3 linked regions of the Drosophila melanogaster genome follow. The protein of the gene in region 3 interacts with the protein of the main gene of each other region in a pairwise test. Each region holds a gene or a part of one and is shown on either strand. Other genes may lie near its edges. The genes, in order: Cyp6a22, obst-A and Osi6.

The links.
Region 1: the proteins of Osi6 (region 3) and Cyp6a22 interact in a two-hybrid assay, tested with the Drosophila melanogaster proteins (one large-scale study listed by BioGRID).
Region 2: the proteins of Osi6 (region 3) and obst-A interact in a two-hybrid assay, tested with the Drosophila melanogaster proteins (one large-scale study listed by BioGRID).

The regions. Positions count from the first base shown.
Region 1 is NT_033778.4:14,867,088-14,874,258, reverse strand, and holds Cyp6a22 (cytochrome P450 6a22), read right to left. Parts: upstream 2,894-7,171; 5' UTR 2,730-2,893; intron 2,622-2,729; 5' UTR 2,457-2,621; coding exon 1,391-2,456; intron 1,324-1,390; coding exon 890-1,323; 3' UTR 794-889; downstream 1-793. Other genes in the region: Cyp6a17 (cytochrome P450 6a17), read right to left, coding at 1-279; Pcf11 cleavage and polyadenylation factor subunit, read left to right, coding at 4,028-4,210, 5,227-5,352, 5,416-5,631, 5,697-6,026, 6,088-6,775.
Region 2 is NC_004354.4:20,235,865-20,243,035, forward strand, and holds the start of obst-A (obstructor-A), read left to right. Parts: upstream 1-3,990; 5' UTR 3,991-4,113; coding exon 4,114-4,162; intron 4,163-5,197; coding exon 5,198-5,401; intron 5,402-5,746; coding exon 5,747-5,950; intron 5,951-6,020; coding exon 6,021-6,277; 3' UTR 6,278-7,171.
Region 3 is NT_033777.3:6,230,638-6,237,808, forward strand, and holds Osi6 (osiris 6), read left to right. Parts: upstream 1-4,070; 5' UTR 4,071-4,098; coding exon 4,099-4,317; intron 4,318-4,945; coding exon 4,946-5,665; 3' UTR 5,666-6,544; downstream 6,545-7,171.

The sequences.
Region 1 (7,171 bases), on a different chromosome or scaffold from region 3:
GATCAGCACCCTCTTGAGCAATTCCATGTCGGTGACCACAGCAGTGCGGGTGAAAAAGAAGAAAAATCCAGCGAATGGGTAATCGGAGTTCTTGTACTTGAAGTAATAGTCCCGAAAGATCTCGGCAATGTGCCGCTTATTTGGCCAGTCCTTGATGTTTCCGAAAAGCGGGTGTACCTCGTCGTGCGGTATGCCCCTTCTCTGCCAGTATCCATGACGTCGTCGGGCCGCGAAGACGAGCAGTGATAGTATCACAACGATTAGCGCCAGTAACAACATTTCACGTCCAGAGTCCAATACAAACTGACTTTAAAGTGGGATGCCACAACGCAAGCTCATTCGCGTATGAGGACTTCGCTCTTTTCGCCAATCTCTCATTTTCACACACAAAACTCACCGTTCAAGTTCTCTTAAGGTTTGTTCTCAATGTGATAAATAATAATTAGGGAATCATATGCGCAGTTAAAATGGTTGTATACACATATATGAACAAACAATCTATATACATACAATCTCTGTATATAAACAATCTAGCGATTACGCAATCAAAAAAATATAAACAAAGCGAATTCCAGTAATTTTTATTGCATTCTTTGCAAACTTGGTTTTTGCCAACGTAAATGTACAAATTAAGCATGAAACTTGGAAAACAGATTTCATTATTTAAAATCCCTGGAACTGGTGAAATGCTAAGATAACGTCAGTGACGAAATACAAATATTTAATCGAACAAATTAAGCTCAAGAAGCTTGATTAGATATACAGCAGTTTTACTGTACCTACTACGTTGATTGATAAAAACATTTGATTGTGTATTTGTATAACAGCATTGTAAAATGTAGATACTAAATGTTAGAATACAATCCAGATAGCGATTTAATAAGCAGCACTAACTACTCATTTGGCTAAGCTGTTGGACTTTTAAGTAAATTCCGTTGGCGGGGCACAGCAGAATGTTGGACTTGAGAAACTCAATTTTTGGGTCAGTTCGCGGACAGACGCTGAAGTGAAAGTTTCGGAGCAGACTGACCAGGCCAATGGTCGTCTGCATTTTGCCAAACCTCATTCCAATGCAATTTCGCGGTCCATCGCCAAAGGGCAGCCATGCGGCGGTGGGTCGCTGCGCCAGTTGATCGGCCAGAAAGCGCTCCGGGATGAACTTATGTGGCTCGGGATATAGGGCGGGATCATGATGGATGCCGTAGACCGGTATCAGTAGCATTTGACCCGGCTCGATGTAGAAATGACGATCGCCCTTGGCTGCGTAGAGATGCCTGGAGATCCGAGTGAGCTGCGGTAGTATGGGATACTTCCGAAGGGTTTCTAAAAGATACAGTGGTAAATGGTATCATCTTTGTAATATTTAAAATTCGTTTTGAGTCGGGCTCACCTGCTATGACCAGTTCCATGTACCGCAGCTCCTGCATGGAATCATATGTGAATTCACCGTTGTGTAACCGCAGAGCCTGGTCGATTTCCTCGCGTAGCTTTGCCTGCAGTGCCGGCTGCTTGGCCAACTCGTACAGGGCAAATCCTAGCGTTGATGCGGATGTGTCGAATCCCGCCGCAAAGAATATAAATGCCTGGGCGGCCATTTCCTCGATGGTGAGCTCACCGCGCTGCTTCATTTCGATCAGCAGGTTCATGAAGTCGCTCCTCACGATGCCCTGCTCCTCCCTCTGCTTCACAGTTTCCCGAACGATGCCCACATAGAAATCCGTAATGTCTTGATGGATTTGGCGCATGCGCAGAAACCTGGCCACTTCGGGGAAACTCTCTATAAATCCATCGACCAGCTTGCAGTGGCGACGCTCTGAAAAGGCTCTCCTGCCCATTATGGCGAACTCCGCCTCGGGATTCCGGAGGCCGTTGCATTCCACGCCAAAGGCACACCGTCCTATCACGTCCGAAGTGTAGCGAGCCATCAGATCACCGATCTCGAGGATTCCACACATGGCATTATCCGCCAACTCGCCACAAACTTGAGTAAGTTCCTCGCCCACCTCGCAGACCGTCGGAAACATATACTTCATCTTAGCTGAGGTAAAGGTGGGGGACATTTTCTGGCGCAAGGGTCGCCACTTGGGCCCGTCAATGCGGAATAGATGCCCAGTTAGAGGATCATCCCGCTCATTGTGATACATTCCCCGATCCTCAAAGTTGGCGAAGTCCTGTATGAGGATCTGTTTGGCCAGTTCCAGATCTGTGACCAAGACCACAGGTCTCAACATCATAAAAAATCCGGCAAAGGGTGCTCCATTGCCCTTGAACTTCTCATAGATTGGCGTTACAATGTCGATGAAATGTTTGTTTTTCCGAAATCCCTCCATATTCCCCACGGGAAACCGGGCCGGCTCACTGCCAATGCCCCGCCGGGTCCAGTAGCTATATCTCGTCCGCACGAACCAGAAGCCCACTGCCAGGGCAATAAGCAGTAGAGCCACTACATCCAGCATCCTCTCCCCGAATAGATTCACTATGAACTGAACACTGGACCAACGCCTCTATTCGCTCCGCTTACAATCAGCTGCAGTAGTGTAAACAGACCTAGGCAGATAACCTCGTCTCATAGAATTTAGGCGCACTGAAAACAAATCGAACTGAAGCTCGGACTTGACGAGCTTTTAACGGTGATTCAAGTTAATGCAATTGATATAGTGAGAGATAACTGTAGAACACCCGCCTTGAAGAAAAAGTCTATGCAATATATGCATTTATTCTCTGCTTACTATATGAGCGTAATTAAAAGTATGATAAGAATTTTGCATTTCTTATCTGTTTTTTTTCTTTCTTTTTTTATCTGATCTAATATCAGACTTATTATATAGTCTTCTTGAACTTCTCGACTATCAGATACCCGTTACTTGGCTAGAAGAAATGAAGTTAAAGAAACAATACTAATTTTCGGATCGCCCACTACCGCCACCTGGTGGTATATTAATTCAATTGGCAACGCCTATAAAATTAAATAGTGCATATTGCATTAAAACTAAATAAATAAAACACTTCTAACATTAATTTCTTTTTTAATTAGTTATACTGCAATTTTAAAGGCACTTTAAAATTTAACATTTCTAGTGGTTGGCAACGCGGTTTAATGCAAAAAATACCTTAATGGTATATTTTTAGTATATTTCCTTAAATAAAAATTGTATAAAATGTATAATTTCCATTTCACGTCGACGGCCACACTTTTAAGTGTAAGTCATCAAAAATACATCGCAGTTGTTACGTGAGAGTTTTCAAAAGCTAATTTTTATATAGTAGCAGTGCTTTTGTGAAATTTTTTCCTCGCAAAAGTGTCTGGCAGTGATTGTACAAATGTATTAGCTTAAAAAGGTATGTTTTTAAATGTTCTGCAGCGCGAAAAAGTAAATTGAAGTCGAACTGATAACTCGCGTGTGTATGTAGTGGTAACACAAACGTGGCTTTGTCTGGGAAAATCTCCGTTAAATCAATTTAAGCAACGAGATAGTTTCACTAAAACGTAAATATTTCGTGAAAGCGTGAAATGCGATGTACAGAAAGGAAAAACAAGCACTTTATTGGTTAATTTATTCGGGCAGGCCACACATGCGAAAATATGCTCATGGCCGCCATATTGAATTTTCGTCGTCATTCCGTACGTGTGTGTGTGTATATATGTAAGAGATTACCTTGTGTTTGTGGACGCGCGTGATTGTTTACGTCTGGTACGAATTACATACATAGATACGCTGTATACAGGATTATCTATCCACATAGTGCAGCCTAAGATTTCAGTGCATCACGGTTTATTACAAATAAAATGGGCAGAGATGAAGATATCGCTAACAAACATCGCAACCTTAATACATTATTCATCCAAAATATCCCGACAAAATCCCATTAATAGTGCAAACTTTTTCACACAAATTACCTTTGCTTTTCATGTCATTTAATTACTTTGTTATATTTTCCCTTGCAGTCGAAACATAGCAACTGCGACTACTTCAAACCAAATAACTTGATCAATATCCGGATCAAGATCTGGAATACAGAGTCCACAATGGAGCAGCTATTTCAGAATTACCGCGACGATGAGCGAAGGATCGGCGAGGAGTATCTGTCAAGTCTCCAGGACCTCAACTGCAACAGCAAGCCATTGATCAATATGCTCACGATGCTTGCCGAGGAGAACATCAACTACGCCCACATCATAGTTAAAGTGGTGGAATATTACATCAGCCAGGTTAACAAAACAAAAGCGTATTTACTTAAAAACAAAGACACTCCAGCTTACACACAGCTAATAGACGGTCGACACTAAAAGTGATTCTCCATATCGAAATTGTGATAGAATGTGCAGTTTATTGATTGCGGTTGCCCTTTGATTGCAGAGAAACCCAACGAAGGCCACACATATGCGTTTCTAAGACTCGGTTCTTTCAGTTGGGTTTTTCTGCAAACTCTTGGGCACAAATGGTAGATAGGTTCCTAATAATCTTAGTATATATCTCATAATTTGGGTTATAAACCGTGACTGATTTTAATCATCTACAAAGGTAAGAAGTTTAACCAACCTGCTCCTCGTTTCTTATTTCTTTCTACTTTGGATCCCAGAGTTTAAAGCTAAGGAATAACAAACAACCTTTAAAAAAATATTGAAAAATAAATAAAAAGAGAAAATGCTTAAACAATTGTCACCAAGTTGTCTTTTATTTTATACAAAAACTTTGACTGCTTACAATCAATATAAAAAAAATTGATGTGCAGCAATTTTTGTATTACAAAAAGAAAAGTGCAAGTTTTCGTAAAAGTAAAAAAAACTGCAGCCAAACAAAAACAAATGTCCATAATACGTAAGAGTAGTAAAAGCCTTTGTTTCTGCCACATTGTCACTGCGATTTTCATTCATATTCACTCGGCTAAGGGAACAGACCGCTAACATCATACGCCAACACTGTAACCCTTAATGTTTGGAGATCCTTAGACACCGCGTTTCCTCATTCAACACCCAATGCTTAGGAAAATATTTCTCTGTAGGCTAGGATATTGTTTGAGTTCGACCGCCTTGGCATGAAGGCACCCACCACCAGCAGATGAGGATGATGACTTCGGTGGACGATCGCTGACCCTGCTCTTGTGTTGTCCATCGGCCTGTCTCATTAGTTTTCTTCCAACCTATCCGTTTGAATCTCCGCTAGCGACGTTCCGTAGACACTTATTCTTCTTTATTTCTTACCTATTTTACTAAACTTCTAACAGGTGGCGCCCGAATTTAAATTGCCCATACTATATTTAATTGATTCGATAGTAAAGAATGTGAAAAGCAGCTACGTCCAATTGTTTGGACAGTGCATAGTCAACATATTCCTCCACGCCTTCGAATCGGTAAGCGAAATCATTTTCTTAATGTCAATCCAATGGTTCATTAATGTTATTTCAATCCTGCAGGTCCAGCACTCACAGTCGCAGGTTTTGGAAAAGGTGCGGGAACGCATGTATGCCCTGCGTCAGACCTGGAACGAGGTGTTCCCGCCATCCAAGATGTACGCGCTGGACGTTAAGGTGAAGCGCCTAGATAACAACTGGCCCATTACTGCCAAACAGCCAACTAACAAAATTCACGTCAATCCGGCCATTCATGTTAATCCGGATTTCTTAAAACCGGTAAGTGCCCCAAATAACTATTAATCCCTTTAGTTAGACCAATGTATCCATTCAATTGTAAAAAGGGTTTGGTTCCTGGGATGCCTGGTAACCCCACAATCACCAGCGACATGGAGGAGATTTTGCAAGCAAAAACTCGTGAGTTGCTGGAGCTCAAGAAGCGCAAACTGGAACTGGAGCTGGAGCAAACCAAAAAGCATTTAGAGGAGCAGGAGCGTCAGCTGACCCAAACCACGGACGCGATGGTTGGAGCACCGATTATTATGCCTGCTCCCACTCCAGCAGCAATTTGTCCGCCAATCACGGATCCCGGTATAGCAGTGCATAATCAACGAGCTCCAGGAGTAATGGGCAATGTTGGTCCCGTAATGCATAACATGCCAGTGGCTCCGCAGGTAAATTGTGAAATATGATGGTGGAAGCTATAAAAAATCTAATTCAACTATGGAATTACAGCTTTTTGCGAATAAACCAAAAGTCCATCCTGTCAATCCGGCACTGTTGAACTCGGTGCGCCAACGAGATCCGAGACTAGCCCGCCAGATGCATGCGGCATCCTCACATCCAGCTGCGCCGGCACGAAACGATCCTCGGCTGGAGGCCAAATCTAGCTCCTCACAGAAGTCTAGTCGGTCGCGCAGCAAATCGCCTGTGCGCAACAGCAGCAGTCGGTCTGGAAAGAGTGGAAGCTCTAGCCACAGCAGTTCGTCGAGCCGCAAGCGAAGTGAGTCAAAGAGCTCCACGACTTCCTCATCTTCGTCGAGCTCTGATGTTCGGCACAAGGGTGTCACTGCAAGCAGCTCCAACCAGCCAACAGTTAAGCGGTCCGGTAAGATCACGTCTAAGGATTCGGATCGCTATGTTCGCAATGGATCTCCTTTGGGATCCGCGAAACGCAAGAGCAGCTCACCAAGTAGCTCGCCCTCCAAATCCAAGCGCAGCACGTCGCACAAGTCATCCTCGTCGCGAGGAAAGACCTCTTCTCTGCGTTCCCGCAGTCGATCTCCAGTTTTTATGGACGTCGACCTACGCACCGGAGTTCGAAGCAAGTCACCAGAGAGCAGGGCAGTTGCCCCATCATCCTTACCACTGGCGGGCGCATCACTACCAGCATCAGCTAAAGCACCAAAAGATTTAGAGAAACGTAAGAAACAACTTTTAATTCTAATCTCACACTTGTTAGCGAACAACCAAGTCTGGTTTGACTTGGAACCTAGAGCTACAGACAGCTTAGTTGAAAATTTAGAATATATCAACCAGAATGGCGGCACTCGATGGCTTAGGTTGGTGGAAGGGCGGGTTATTGGGACCGTATGTGGTTGACAAGTGGAAATCTTCTGCTCAACTCTAACCGAAGTCTGTGATAAGTACAATTGTGATACCAAAGTGGCGTTCCCAACAATGGAATGTGTTAAACTATAGATTTTGCTTGAATTCTGATAAATATCATATTAAATTACTACTGAACAACAATTTGAGATGGTTATAAAAGCGACCATTGCCAGTATTACTTACTGATCAACATTATTGACAAAGATGT
Region 2 (7,171 bases), on a different chromosome or scaffold from region 3:
CGTGGCGCAGCCAACTCATATGTTCTCCTATCGCCAAGTGGAGCACATTTCCCGGTAACCCAGTGAGTGGCCGTCACTTTACTTTCCTTTGCTCGGCCAAAAAAAAAAAATCAATAATCCAGCGATTGGACTGTGACGTCTTTTCGCCCTGGCTGCGTTTTTCAACTTCCTTCTCTCACTGCTCTTGTGATTTTTCCATGAAATGCACAAAAACCCACCTCTTGACTGTCTTTACTCGTTGTTCGGCTGCTTTTTAAGTACTTAAATCATCATTTTTCAACAATGTAAAAATGCGACTGACTTTTAATGTTTTGACTAACTAGAGATGGAACATCGCCCACGGCCAGTTACTTCGCACAGTTATTGGCACACGAAGGAGATAATGGGCGCGGCTGGTTTACATAGATGCCCAAAGGGTGTGGAAGACTAGGATTCTTAGCGGGATTCCGAATTCTTAATTAACACAAGTTTAAACACAAGAATAAGATTTTACTACTGTACGGCGATAGCTGTGAACAGCTGTCGTGACAGCGATAGTTCCAGTCTTTCCATGCACTAGCGCAGCGATCTGGCAGCACTACTGCGTTTAGCAGAACGCTGTTAGTTACAGTTACATTTCACATACACTGCAACACACTTTATATTTATTAATATTTATATTTATTTATGGAAGAAATCTACAAATCATGCTTAAATAGAGCTTCAAACTGAATATATATATATATATATATATATATATATTATATTATATATTATTAATTATTAATTATTAATTATTAATATTAATTATAAATATATTAGATTAATATATAATTATATTACCATAATTAATAATAGGTAAAAAGTATGTTAATACAGAGATATGCCGCATTTTAAAATTGTTATGTTATAGGTGGCTTACAGTTATCATAAAAAAGTTTTGCACACTCACACACATGCACTATGAAATATCAGTGTTGCTTTCTGAAGCGTAACTTTTAATTTATAGATTCAAGAGAGGTATCTGTAGGTAAATTCGAATTGATACACAGTACCTTAATGATAATACACTGATGTCCCATATGCATACAAAATTAAATAATCCTTTTAGGTCTAAAATTCAGCTAAAATTAATGCCCACAACCTGTGCATTTGTTTGATTAAAATGCTGAGTGTGAAGTACTACAAAATGTAAAAATTAATTAATTAAGAAAGGTAAGCAAGACTATTCTTGTAAAAAATTACCAATACCGCTGAAATTCCCATAGTGACTCAAAACTACTGAGCTTACAAAATACGTTCAGGGTTCTGAAAGTATGTACATACATACGTATGTACATATGTATGTAGATATGTCGTGTTTTAATTGCCCCTCCAAAGTGCCAATTACATTCAATGCGCGTCTTTGGGCCAGTGAAATCACCAGAACCCGCCGTGGAAATAGAAAGCGCACTTAGGCGATGTGTCTTTCCACAATGTATGCCATAATTTGTGCCACCAATGCCAGATGTTGCTGCAACGCGGGGCGCAAAGCGAATCCAACAGTAGTACGTGCCTTCGGTCGTATCTGAATGTATCCGAAAGTATCTGAAAGTATCTGAAAGATACCGTATCCAAAGTGCCAAGGAAGAGGTTTTCATGGGGTTAAAGCGCCCATGAAACTTTTGGGGATTTTATTTCGATTCGATTTGGCGCATCTGCACATCTGCACATCTGAATTTAAATGCCAGCATTCGACGACCCAAAAACTGTAGTCCGAGTTGCTCGTTTCGTAACCGCATTGATAAACCGGACTCGAACTGGAATCGCTCCGATGATCCCCCATGCTGCAGTAAAAACCTTGAATTGCCAAATCTTCGACTGCTCAACTTTTTGCTCCAGGCCGACAAATCTTGCACATGGGCGGGAGTTGGCAAACCGATGAGCGGATACTTAATATCTTCGCTTTTTCCCCGCGCTAATTGCCAGGCCAAACCTGTCGCACCGAAGTCGAGATGCCAGCGCGATTAGTTTACAAATTAATTTGCCAATTGAATTTCAGATTTAGACGTCTGGCCGGGCTTCCAAGAACCACCTCCACCTGGTTTCCACATGGGATCGGGCGAGAGTAAAAGTGTATTGTTAATTAGCCACTACACGCCGCCAACCTAAACTAGTTTCCCAGCCCGTCTGGTTTGGCCGCATCTCCGATCTCCGATAGCTGATTATATTTTCATTATTTTTTATTTCTTTCCTACTCCGATCGGAGCGGATCGATCGCATCTCCCAAGGACAGCGGCTTTTGGGTCATTGCGTGGCCGCTTAGCATATTTATGCATATATTATGTACATATATTACCGGCATGCTCCGCCGCTTGGCCGCTGGAAGCATCGGGATGACACAGTTTTCCATCCCATGGGCGTAGCTCCTCGGAAATGGCTACACCAAACCAACCCCCCCCCCTCCCCTCCCCCACCAATCACCTGTAGACCAGTTCCCAAGCAGGCAAAACTAGAAATTCTATATTGTATCAGGCATTTCATTGGATTCCTATGGATCACCATGTTTCTAATAGATATACAACATTCAATTTGTAAGATACATTTATTACATTAGTACTTGCTCTTGTTAATTTCATCATATTTTAATATTTCTAAATGATAGTTTATAAAAATGTGCTCTTATTTCAATTATACATATATAATGTATATTATCTTACCTTATTTTACCAAAAGTAATAATGCTAAATTTTTGATTTGCGGGAGTGGCGTTTAAGACATTACCTTCCAACTAATTGGGTGTGTTACTCATTACCAAGTCTTTCATCCGTCCGTCTGCATATATGCAATGTATATATAGTATAATTTAAAGATACAGATCCAGACCGAAACTACGCCCATGGCGTGTCCTCTTCAGCCTTGAAGTCTCAATTTTTGGCTGGCACTTTGGACGAAAGGACGGTCTTCCAACTCCAACTCGTCGCCAAATGGATGGTACCTGTTTGGCTGGCCTTTTGGTCGATCGATGTAAGCCATTTGCATGCGGACCATCAACCCGGCCAACTCAATTCGAGCCAACTGAATTCGGGGATCGTTGACGCATATGAATTTATTTACGTTCATTTTCGTGTGTGTGTGTGTGTTGCTTTTTTGGTCACATCGACACACTGATCGCAGGGAACGCATACCCTACTCGAACCGCATCCATCGGTCGCTCGATCGCATTTGGTTATTTGACGGTCAATACCCGGAAATGTGCAGCTGACCAGATGGCTTACAAGCTGGAATTTTGTATTTTTGCACAGGGTCAACTATTTATTACTCTATATGCCTAAGAACCACCCATTTTTAGCATATAATTTTATTTTTAAGCGAAACAATTGAATTGAAACGCTAATGGAAATCAATTTAACATCTTCTCTACCTGCATAAATGACCGCTAGATGGCTCTGCAGATCAAGATCACTAAAGAATTTGCGGCATTAAAACTGTAATTATACGATAAATAACATTGTTTTTCTTTTTTTTTAATAGCCTTTGAGTATTCTTAAGAGTTCGCTTACAAATACATAGAAGCATTTCCTAATTCTTCCAAGATTTCGATGTAATCTCCAAGTCATCTGATACAGGTGACGCCTTCAACACAGTTGATCAATGCGCGGCCTGAAGAATTCGCGTGGTGCACATTAAGCTAGGGCATCTGGCCAGCGGTTTTCCGGTCCTCGCCCCTGGACTTTCTTGTTTTTGTGCCATTACATCTCTGGCTCGCCTTTCTTCGTCGCCTTTGGAGCCCCGGCTCCATTCCATTCCCATATCCAGTCCAGCTCCAGCCGCAGCTCGTTTGGCCTGGCTCGGTTTCGTGTGGTAGTAGTAGTAGTAGTGGTGGTGGTGGTGGTGGTGATGGTAGTGGCAGTGGCAGTGGCGGGGGCGGTAGTGGCCCCGCCCATTGGCATCACTCTGCCGCAGCCGACGGCGTCGTCGCGTCGTCGGCGACGTCGAGCAGAGCCGGTAAAAAGTCTTGAAAAGTGCGCCTCTTTGGCGTTCCGTTGTTAGTTTAGTTTAACCATCGCAGCGCTTGAGTCGCGATTAGTTGCTCAAGTATCCAGTTGCCAGGATCGTTGCTCTGCTTTTTTTTTCTCAGACCCCGAGTCCAAAATGAAGTTATTTTTATGTGCCATTGCTGTGACCCTGTGTGTGGCGACAAGTGAGTGTGAATCAATGGATCCGTGGGAATGGATCAATGGATCGTTCAATGGATCAGTGGTGCCCAGTTCAAGTGACTGACGACTGACTGGCCAGTGCCAGCCCATCCGCCAAGTCAGAGTCGCAAATTGTTGCTAATTACTTTGACACTGACACCGAAATCAAGACTCGATCTCGATCTGCTGCCGCTGTGTGTTTTGGCCAGCTAAGTAGCTAAGTAGCTAAGAGCTAAGAGCCATAAGTAGCTAATCATATTTAGCCGTCTCGCAAGACTGGGCCTCAGACGCAAATGTTGAATCTGGTCGCGATTGCGGATCTACAGGCCACATGCAGATCGAGATGGAGGGCCGTTTTCCGTCTGGAAAAACTGGAATGCTGGCCAAGCCCAAGATGCTGTCTGGCTGTCTGGGCCGCTGGGGTTATGCAACTCATGCAGTTTGTTGGCCAAGTGGAAAACGGCTCTTCTGGGCCGCAAGAGAAGTGCATTGAACCCGGACCGAACGTCGTAATCTTGGCATTATGCTGAGTATGAAGCCTTCTCTGACATTTAAATTTCGACATTTCGAATCACTTACCGGTGTGTTACGGAAATCCAAAGAATTCGCGTAGTTTGAATTCCCAATTTCGGTTGTAGAAGATATTGTCAGCATAGCGAATGCAAAGGTGTATAGAAGTATGCAGTGATTTTCGCATTGTATACATTTTTTATAGCTATCCTTTAGGCGCCCAAGTAAGAGATTTCACATTGGTTGAGTAAATAGTACTAACCTATATCTAGCTTACCGAAGTCAGTGGGATTCTGGTCAAATGTATCAAGCGATAGCAACCTGTTCCAATGGAAAACCACTGATCATTTCTTGGGCCACCGGGAGTGGTGGCAACCAGGAAACCGCAAATGCGGAATTGCCATCGGTAATCGAACGTCGTTCGATCTGTTACACTTTCGAGTGCGACTGGGGGTCGCCAGGAAAGTGAAAGTGGGAAAACCAGTTGACTGAAGTGCTTGTTTCTTTCCTTTGTTTTACCCCAACACCAGCCGTGTCCGCCGCCAACTTCGAGTGCCCGAAGCCCAATGGCCAGTTCGCCGATGAGGTGCAGTGCGACAAGTTCTACGTCTGCGACGACGGAGTGGCCAAGGCGAAGCTCTGTCCCGATGGCCTGGTCTTCGATCCACTCAACCGCAAGTTCAACAAGTGCGACCAGCCCTTCAATGTGGACTGCGAGGACCGCACTGAGCTCCGTAAGTAGCCCATCCCATCACCATTTCTATTTCTAGGCTATTGTTACCGACCCCTTGGGAATGGTCACGAAAACTATGTCAAGGCAGAGCGCTAAACAGGTTATTCCAATTACATCATTACATCACCATTAACTATGTAGGGAGTTAAATTTAAATTCGCCTCTTAAGTTCAAATTTAGCTTACTAATGAAAGCATCAGTTGAAAGGATGAATTTGTAGCATACTTTTGGACATCTCTATATTTAAAGCAAATACACCACTACAATGAGCTATCCAAAAGTTATGTAGTTGTGTAGCTCCTTTGGTAGACGGAGGAACTAACCCTGTTCGGTTTCCCCTTCACAGAGGAGCCGAAGTCCAGCAAGTACTGCCCGCGCAAGAACGGCTTCTTCGCGCATCCCGATCCCGCCGTGTGCAACATCTTCTACAACTGCATCGAAGGCGACGCCCTGGAGACCAAGTGCACCGTCGGCCTCCACTTCGACGAGTACTCGGGCACCTGCGTGTGGCCGGATACCGCTAAGCGCGAGGGCTGCAATCCGGAGCAGAGTAAGTGGACCGATTGAGTCGCCGTGCGGCGGAGTGGGCTAATGGTCTGGCATGTGGTGTGTACTTTCAGGAACCTCCGAGACCGGCTTCGTGTGCCCCAAGGATCAGCCAAAGACCGACGATCGCGGCCAGGTGGTGACCCACCCCAAGTATCCGCATCCCACCGACTGCCAGAAGTTCTACGTGTGCCTGAACGGCGAGGATCCCAGGGATCTGGGCTGCCAGCTGGGCGAGGTCTACAACGATGCCACCGAGATGTGCGATGCTCCCGAGAATGTGCCCGGCTGCGAGGACTGGTACAAGGATGTGGACGACAAGAAGGACTAAGCCACTTCCGGTCGCTTCTACTTCTCCTCATCACATCCACACTCACAACTCATGCACATGCACACGCACACACAAGCACACTGAAAGAAATTATCAATCAAATCAAATCGAAACAATTCGAAACAAATCAACACACAGATTCGCGTCTTAGTCACTTAAATTTAGTAGTTCTAGCCCATTTCCTATAGAGCGTATGTGTAGCAGTTAAACTTCAATACTCTGACCTATCTATTTCTTAACTATCTTTCTCTATATCTGACTACTTCTAACTACTTTTCTAACTACCCAAATCTCCATTTCTGTGCCCAACCAAACGCTGCCAAATTGTTGTGTATATATTTCCCGCTTTCAGACTTTCGCCTTATTATTATACAAAAAGAATAAACTGAATTTTTTATAAACTATCTATATCTATCTATCTACTATAAACTATCTTCCCAATCCCAAGACTACTACTATTCCATATACTGTTTCAGCTATCCTATGTGATCTTCGCCTAAAATTTCAATTTCCCTCATCTCTACGTTACTCTACTTAACTTCTTATCATATTCCAAAACCAATTTTCTGTCTATAAGGAAACCCACTCTTTACAAACTTTTGTCCTCCTAAAATTTTCAAACTTGAATCTTTTCCGTTCTCTTTTCTTGATTTCTTTCTTTCTATCTTTAAAATTTCAATTTAGTTCGTGTTTTATTGTTTTGCGAACTGTTACGCTACAGTTTATTATTCCTAAAATGCTCCTTTTTTAAGCATTTCAATCCTGTAATCTTGTATTTCACTTCTACCTCAAGTTTCAAATCTAAATCTTTTCTATACATTCTATCTTCCTCATAAATATTTCCTTGTATTTCGATTATACCTACTGTATAAATACTCTTTTAGACTATGCTAT
Region 3 (7,171 bases):
ATTAACTTGGCATTTTTATGGCTTTGTGAAATCTCCCGTCTGCTGGGCTGGTTCATTTCAGGGTGTGTGCTTCTTTGATTTGTGGCCAACTTTACTTTTACTGACTAAAATATGCATGCAATTAACGCTCACTATGTGGAATTTAGTTAAAAGAAGGTTTCCTCAGAGCGTTCAAACCAGTAAAACATAAATTACATCATCGATTTTCACTTTCCTTGATTCCTTGGCATCATTTCGTAGTTTGAATGCAAATATTTGCTGTGGCTCCACACATATACATATATATATATATATTGCTACGGATTGTATATATTCATCTGTTGCCCTGGCTGCTGTGCTGTGTGCAAATGGCTCACTTCTGACCACGACTTTCACCGAAACATTTTTGTTATTTATTCATTAAATTTTTGCCCCTGATGTTGCCCTGCGATGCTTCTGTTGCTGTCCAATAAAACCTGTACCTCACATACATACATGGCGCACACGAAATTCTTTTTGCATGACCACGGCTGAAAGACGAAAAAAGTCAAAATTAAATTTAAAGTCAATAACAGTTTTAGCTCGCCAGAGCAAACACACCCACAAAGTGGCAATTGATTGACAAAATACAATTCGGGCGAAAAAAATGTTCAGCACACAATGTGAAATTGTGCTACCAATTGGCCGAAACCTTTCTGTTTTCTACCTATTCGGAACGGTCCATTAGCTGATCCGTTAAGATATCGTTAAGATATATAGAACCACCAGAATTCCGAAATGCACGCCCTCGACGCTTTCGTCGCTTATGCTAATTGGCCAGAAATACAATAAAAGAAAAAAAAACTTTCACGGCTAAGCCATTTGGCTTTAATTTAATTCGAACGGCTAGAAAAAGGGCCTTCGCTGATAAATAATACAGTAAAATGGCCTCTGTGTGGGACACAACGGTCATCATCGTCGTCTTGGCCCGATCCACTAATGAGTCTTGGGCCCAAATTGATGTCAAGCAAAATGAAAGTGAGAATACGATGATATCTCCGCGGGCCCAAAATAATCACCGATTCGAACGAACGCTCCGCTCTTCGATCTGCTGATTGAAGCCCACTCAGCCATTGGCCTAATAAGTAGTGTAATTATTGAGATTTTCTTCGCGGTGGTGTTTGACTTGACCATCTTTTCGGAGGCTTGTGACCAACTTTCTTAAGACATTAACTTTTTGTAGGCAAGTGCATAATTTAAACGAGTGAAAACGCAAGTTCAGAATTGGCCAGAGATGGATGGTCTTAGTTAGAAACGTTGTTATAAATATTATCCAATTTTAAGTTCCTTTTTAAAATTTAATCTAAATGAGCTATGAATTTTGTACTTCGATTCTTAAGAAGTTCCTCCAAAGGTTGCTCAAGTTTTTTTAATCAAGCCAAAAAGCAGCTTTCCTTTGTGTCTTGTTCAACTACATAGATAAACATAAATATAGCAACCGGAAGATAACTTACAGAAATTACCCCTTTGTGCTCTTTAGGGAGGTAAATACCCCGGCGATTTGGACGAAGGATTTATGAATTGCCTGCTATTCGGATAGCCGAAATTTAAAAAAAAAAAGTGGCGAAAAATCGAAAGCTGGGTTCTTTCATGGACAAAATATTGACCTCCACTGTTTCAGTCAGTTTCTGATGTAACATAATGTACAAGTTGTGCGTTGTTTTTTTTTTCAGAGCGGCTCAAGACACTTGCGATTTGTTTACCCAGCTCGGGGACAGTCATAAACAATAACAGCAACACCTCAAACACAACAGCAATATCGAGCAGCAGCAACAACATGCCAGTTCCAACTACGAGCGAAATTCATTCATAAAAGCTCACACACTGGACACTTGGACGGCTGCTTGTCGCATGAATGGCCAAGCCTGTTCGCCATGCTCTTGGCCATTGGCTGTTGGTCATTTGGTAGTTGGTATATGGTAGTTTGGGAGTTGGAAGTTGGCACATGCCAGTCGCCAGACAAATGGAGGCGTTCACGCTCGGCGCGTGAACCGACATAAGTTCGACCGTTAAGACGGATGTGCAACGGCATTCGAATTTGCATGGCTTTGCAGCTCCGAACCCATTTGCATCCGAATGTGTGCCGATTTATGGCGGTCGAAGGAAACGCAAAGCGGAATTCCAGCCTAAAGATCGCATCACTTGTTTTGATTTTCTCCTCTGGGGAGGCTGCACCCATTTCGACGTTGATGTTGCGTTACAAAATGCCTCACACTTTTACCACTGCACGCTTATTTCGATTGACGTCACACGGCCAACTGAAAGCCGATTTAATTGTGGTAGCAAATTACACATACGCCCCATCGCCCATCGACAATTTGGCGTCCATTATGCGGATGATTCAGGGGTTTCGTAAGTCGCACCGCACCAGATCCGTATGATAGTGTCGGATGTCGTCAGTCACATACATTCACCTTGAAACGGGAGCTCGGATCTTTCCAAGAAAGCTACCATCCATCCAAGCACACTGAGGAAAATCGTCATGATTTTATTTCGCCGAATTCAATCGATTTCTATATGGAATTTGAGTTTTAATTATGTATAGTAAAGGATCATTGGATCATTGATTGCAGATTCTAGCGTCGCGGACGCAGAATAAGTTTGTGTCATCTTTACTGTATAATGCCAATTTAATATGCTATTAAAAGCTTATCAGAACTTACTGTAATTCCATCAATTTACTTATTTTTGACAGCTTGATAAAACAAATCAAGTAAATTTCGCTAAAATACAGCAACTATGTGATGATTTCGCCAAGTGCAGTAGTCCATCATCTGTGGGTATCTGGCGTCTTGTGCGCATCCGTTTTTGTTTGCTTTTCGTGTAATTTCTCTTTCATTTCACTTGAGCAATTGAAGCGAGCTGTTATTTGCACTTTTGCTAAGCTCAAATTGTTGACTAATGTGTCACAATTGCCGAGTCAGGCCGTTCCTTATGATTATGCCCGCAGAGGTGTTTTCACCTGAGTACTCGAACTGCCCGAAGGAAAAGTCCCGAGTAGGACGTGCCTATCTGGCCCTAGATCCCGGCTCCCAGATATCCTGTTTCCAGACCCTGTCCTGGTTAAATAACTGTCATTATATATCACACTTTATGTTGCGCAATAAAAACAGAACCACAATAAAGTCACGAAAATAAAAAGTAATTTCAAGACGCGCACATGCGGTAAACATAACTATTTTCGGTGATACCGGGTCGACGGGGGGTATTAAACGGAGATGACATACAGACCAAGGGCCAGAAATAACAGTAGTATGAAAATATTATACAGACAACTTTCATTTCTTGCGGCAAAGTGCCCAAAAAACAAAAGCGTTCAAAAAATTAACAAAATCCAGAAGAATATATGACACATATTATGGCGGAGGGGGGGGGGGCTGGCCCGGCATCCACGGGTTAAGAGTCGGGGTGTGTGGAGGGTTAACCTGCGCAGCACCTGTTTATCACTTCATGTGTTGTAATCTGTGAGGCTCCAGAAGAAACTACACCTCTTTGTCTGCGTGCGTTTGTTCGAGGAGATGGGCAGAAGACTCTGCGGGAAGATGCGTCTTCAGGGGTCTCTTCGCTGTGTGTGTGTGTGATGCGCGCATGTGTATGAGTGTGTGGGGGAGAGAAGACGAACAACCTTGGCTTTGGCTCTCCGATGGAAACTTTCTCGTGCTCTCACATTCAACAGCCCTGCTGCCTGCGCTGACGTCGACCGAAGACGAAGAAGACTCGTCTTCGCATGCTCATGCGCAGCGACTTTCTTTAATGCGGAAGCAGACAAAGCTCTGCCTGCGCTTGCCTAATGCGGCTTCTAAGCTCGGAGGCTGCTGAGAAAGAGAGGCAGCGCTGCGGTCAGAAAGAGAGGGCAGCTGCCGTCTTCGCAGAGTCAAAATGCCAGAAAGAGCACGCAGACACGTGTGGAAGAGGGCTCAGGCTCTTCGGCGACGGAGACCCTAGCTGTATGTGTGGGCACCGGCGCTTTTTACATAATTTTACGTTATGCCGCTGCCGAGGCGACCGCTACGTTGGAAACTCTTTAAAAACAGCCTGACAGCGGCGAAAAGTTATCAAACCGCAGCTTGTTCCATTCGAATGAACACACCAGTGATTTCGGTGGTGCCAAAGGAATTCAGTCTCAGAAATCACCAATCCACCAACCCAGCCACCAGCATGAAGTTCTTCGTTGCCACCGCCTGCATCCTGCTCCTGGCAGCAGGTATCTCTGCCGATCCCGTCAAGGCCGCTGAGGAGCAGCCCGGCGCCTTTGCCCAGTGCCTCGAGTCCGACTCCATCTCGTGCCTGCAGCTCACGGTACGGATTATCTAGGCCCTAAGGATTATATACCCCTATTACAAAACGAAAGATCAAAGCACAATCGAGAACAATTGCAAAGATGCTTAACAGTGAAAGTGAAACCAAAAAATCAATAGATCACCGATTACGTGTTGTCCCATGTGATCTAAAGGATACTATTGAAGTGAAAGTGAAAAACAGTTTCTTTACAGCTTCCTGTCAAGCTGCAACTATTTCGCAATAATCAATTTTGAAAAGAGTGTGTAGTTTGCCAAACACAATTGACACCTGACAGGAAGATGTGAAAACAACATTACCACTTAAAAGTGTTTTTTAGACTTGCCAGCTGCTCTAAGCACATCTCTTTTATATTTCCGAGCTAAAAATATATCATCGAAATTCTATTCTAAAATTCTAAAATCTAAAAACAGTTGATAACAACAAATTTTCCCTTACTTGCAAACTAAGAAATTATTTTAAATTTCACTCACAACTAAATTCTTCCTTAGCCACTTATTTACATACACATGAAGTCATATAATTATAACAATCAATCAAACATATCCTCAATGACCAATATTTTAGACTTTAGATCACAGTTTATTACAGTTCGCTCTAATTCGAAACCCCACTACCTCCTCCACAGCTCTTCCGCAAGGCCAAGTCCGTGTTCGATAACCCTCAGATCGAGCTTTTCGGTGGTGTTTCTCTGGTGAAGTCCAATGAAGGTCGTCAGGGCAAGTCCCTGGACAACTCCCTGGCTGTTGAGGCCGCTCCCACCGTGGAGGCCCGCACCGCCGAGATGGGCAACTACTTCATGGACAACGCCAAGAGCTTCTTCGCTGAACGCTCCCTGAACTTCAACTTCGCTAACGCCGCTCGCAGCGTGGCCCGCGCCATTCCCGATGACATCAAGGCTGATCTCCGCGAGCTGGTTGTTGAGTCCCGTACCCGCAAGAAGAAGCTGCTGAAGAAGTTCCTGCCCATCCTGCTGGGAGTTGGTGCTAAGATCGCCGTCCTTGGAGTCGGCTCCATCTTCGGACTACTGTTCCTGGCCAAGAAGGCACTGGTTGTGTCTGTTATCGCCTTCTTCCTGGCTCTGGCTGCTGGTGCTTCCAGCGGACTGGGACGCATCGGTGGATCCGGAGGCGGCGGCGGTCTGCTCGGCGGTCTGGGAGGTCTCTTCGGCGGCAAGAACGCCGGTGGATCGTCGGCTGCCAGCACCGGTGGATGGTCCTCGGGTGGTGGTGCCTCCAGCGCCGGATGGTCCTCTGGCGGCAGCTCGGGTTGGGACACCCATGGTGCCTACAGCTCGCCTGTGGCCCAGACCATCGCCTACCAGGGATACAAGCAGGCCCGCCGGTAAACAATTGGTCAAGAGCCAAATTAACCGAAGGACGAAGGCCAAGGAGAGAGAGAGAAACAATCGCTAAAAATGATGACCTATATTTATATTTATTTATAAATTATTTATTTTAATTTATTACTTGAACGAGAAGTACGAGACGAACAAAGTGCCTTCCATTAGACAAAAAAACAATCACTTAATAACAAGACACACCCAAACACCAAACACCACCTTTCATCCAGAACCGCCAATAACCTCCACAAAGGAATCTTTACTACTTTCCGCACTCCTCACTCTTCACGCTGTATCTCAATTTCATGGCTGCACCTTTGATAAATGGACTGCAAATCTTTGCGACTAGTCGATCCATCAGTCAAAGCCAGTCGCCTCGCCCATCTAACTGTATCTATCTCTCATCTGTTTCCATCTATCTCTGTTCTACGACTATCTCTATCTGTACCTCTACCTTAATCTATCTACCTATCTGTCTATCCATATCTGTCTGACTATCTGGACTTTCTCACTTTACCGCCCGGGAAAGACCAACCGAATGCTGCTAAATCAAAGAATCAAATAATAATTCAAACATAAAAAATACTTTACCAACACGACTCTCTTTTCTCATCACCACACAATTTTCATTTCGGTTTGCATACGCAACTCGCCATCACAGCCCTCGACAGCATCACTCATACGCCGCGTTGTCTAGCAAAGCATTTGCACGTGGATGGCGCAACTTTCATTTCACTTTTACCCGCCTCATTCTTCCTGCTATCAGCCTCCAAAAATCGAACTCTTTATGGGGTTTCTAAATTTCACCCACTTATTTCACTTCCACTCTTCTGCTTCTGGTAAACTCCATTTTCACTGTGAACAAAGGCACATATGAACAAAGGCAATTTGCTGAAAAATAAAACAAACATTTAGCTACGCGCATTTCGGTTCATTCAAGGCGGGGCACCATCGTATTGTATTTTAATATTTCTCCACCTGACGGAGCCCCATTGTTAGGCGACGCTTAGCACCTTTTGGCCCAAAGAAAGTTGTAAACGCCGTCGAAATGGGCCCGGCTCAATTGAGCCTAAGTAACTGAACTGAAATGAACTGAACTGAACTGCAGTTGCCGGTTGGCAGAACGGCACTTTACAGCCGCTGATGGCTGATGGGCCGATAGGTGCTTTACTTATGAATATGACCCACTTTGGGGGCTGGCTCATGGATGCTGTGCACATTGACTGCCTATTGGCTTTCTTCGTGCACAAATACGTCAGCAATTAATGTGTCGCCGAATGGCTTAAAAGCACTTTTCTATGATCATTGGGGCCGGTTGGTTGGCGTTTCGTTGTTTGATTTGCTTGCTCAGCACACAACTGCTTGGTTCTGCTTCTACCGCAGTTTACAACTTCATTTCGGGCCCAATCGTGGACTCTTCTCACTCTTCTTTTTGAATTGTTTTGCTAAGTGAAATTCCTAAGTAGTTCTCCATTGAAGGTGTCACGCTTTAAATCAATAGCTATTGTCCAG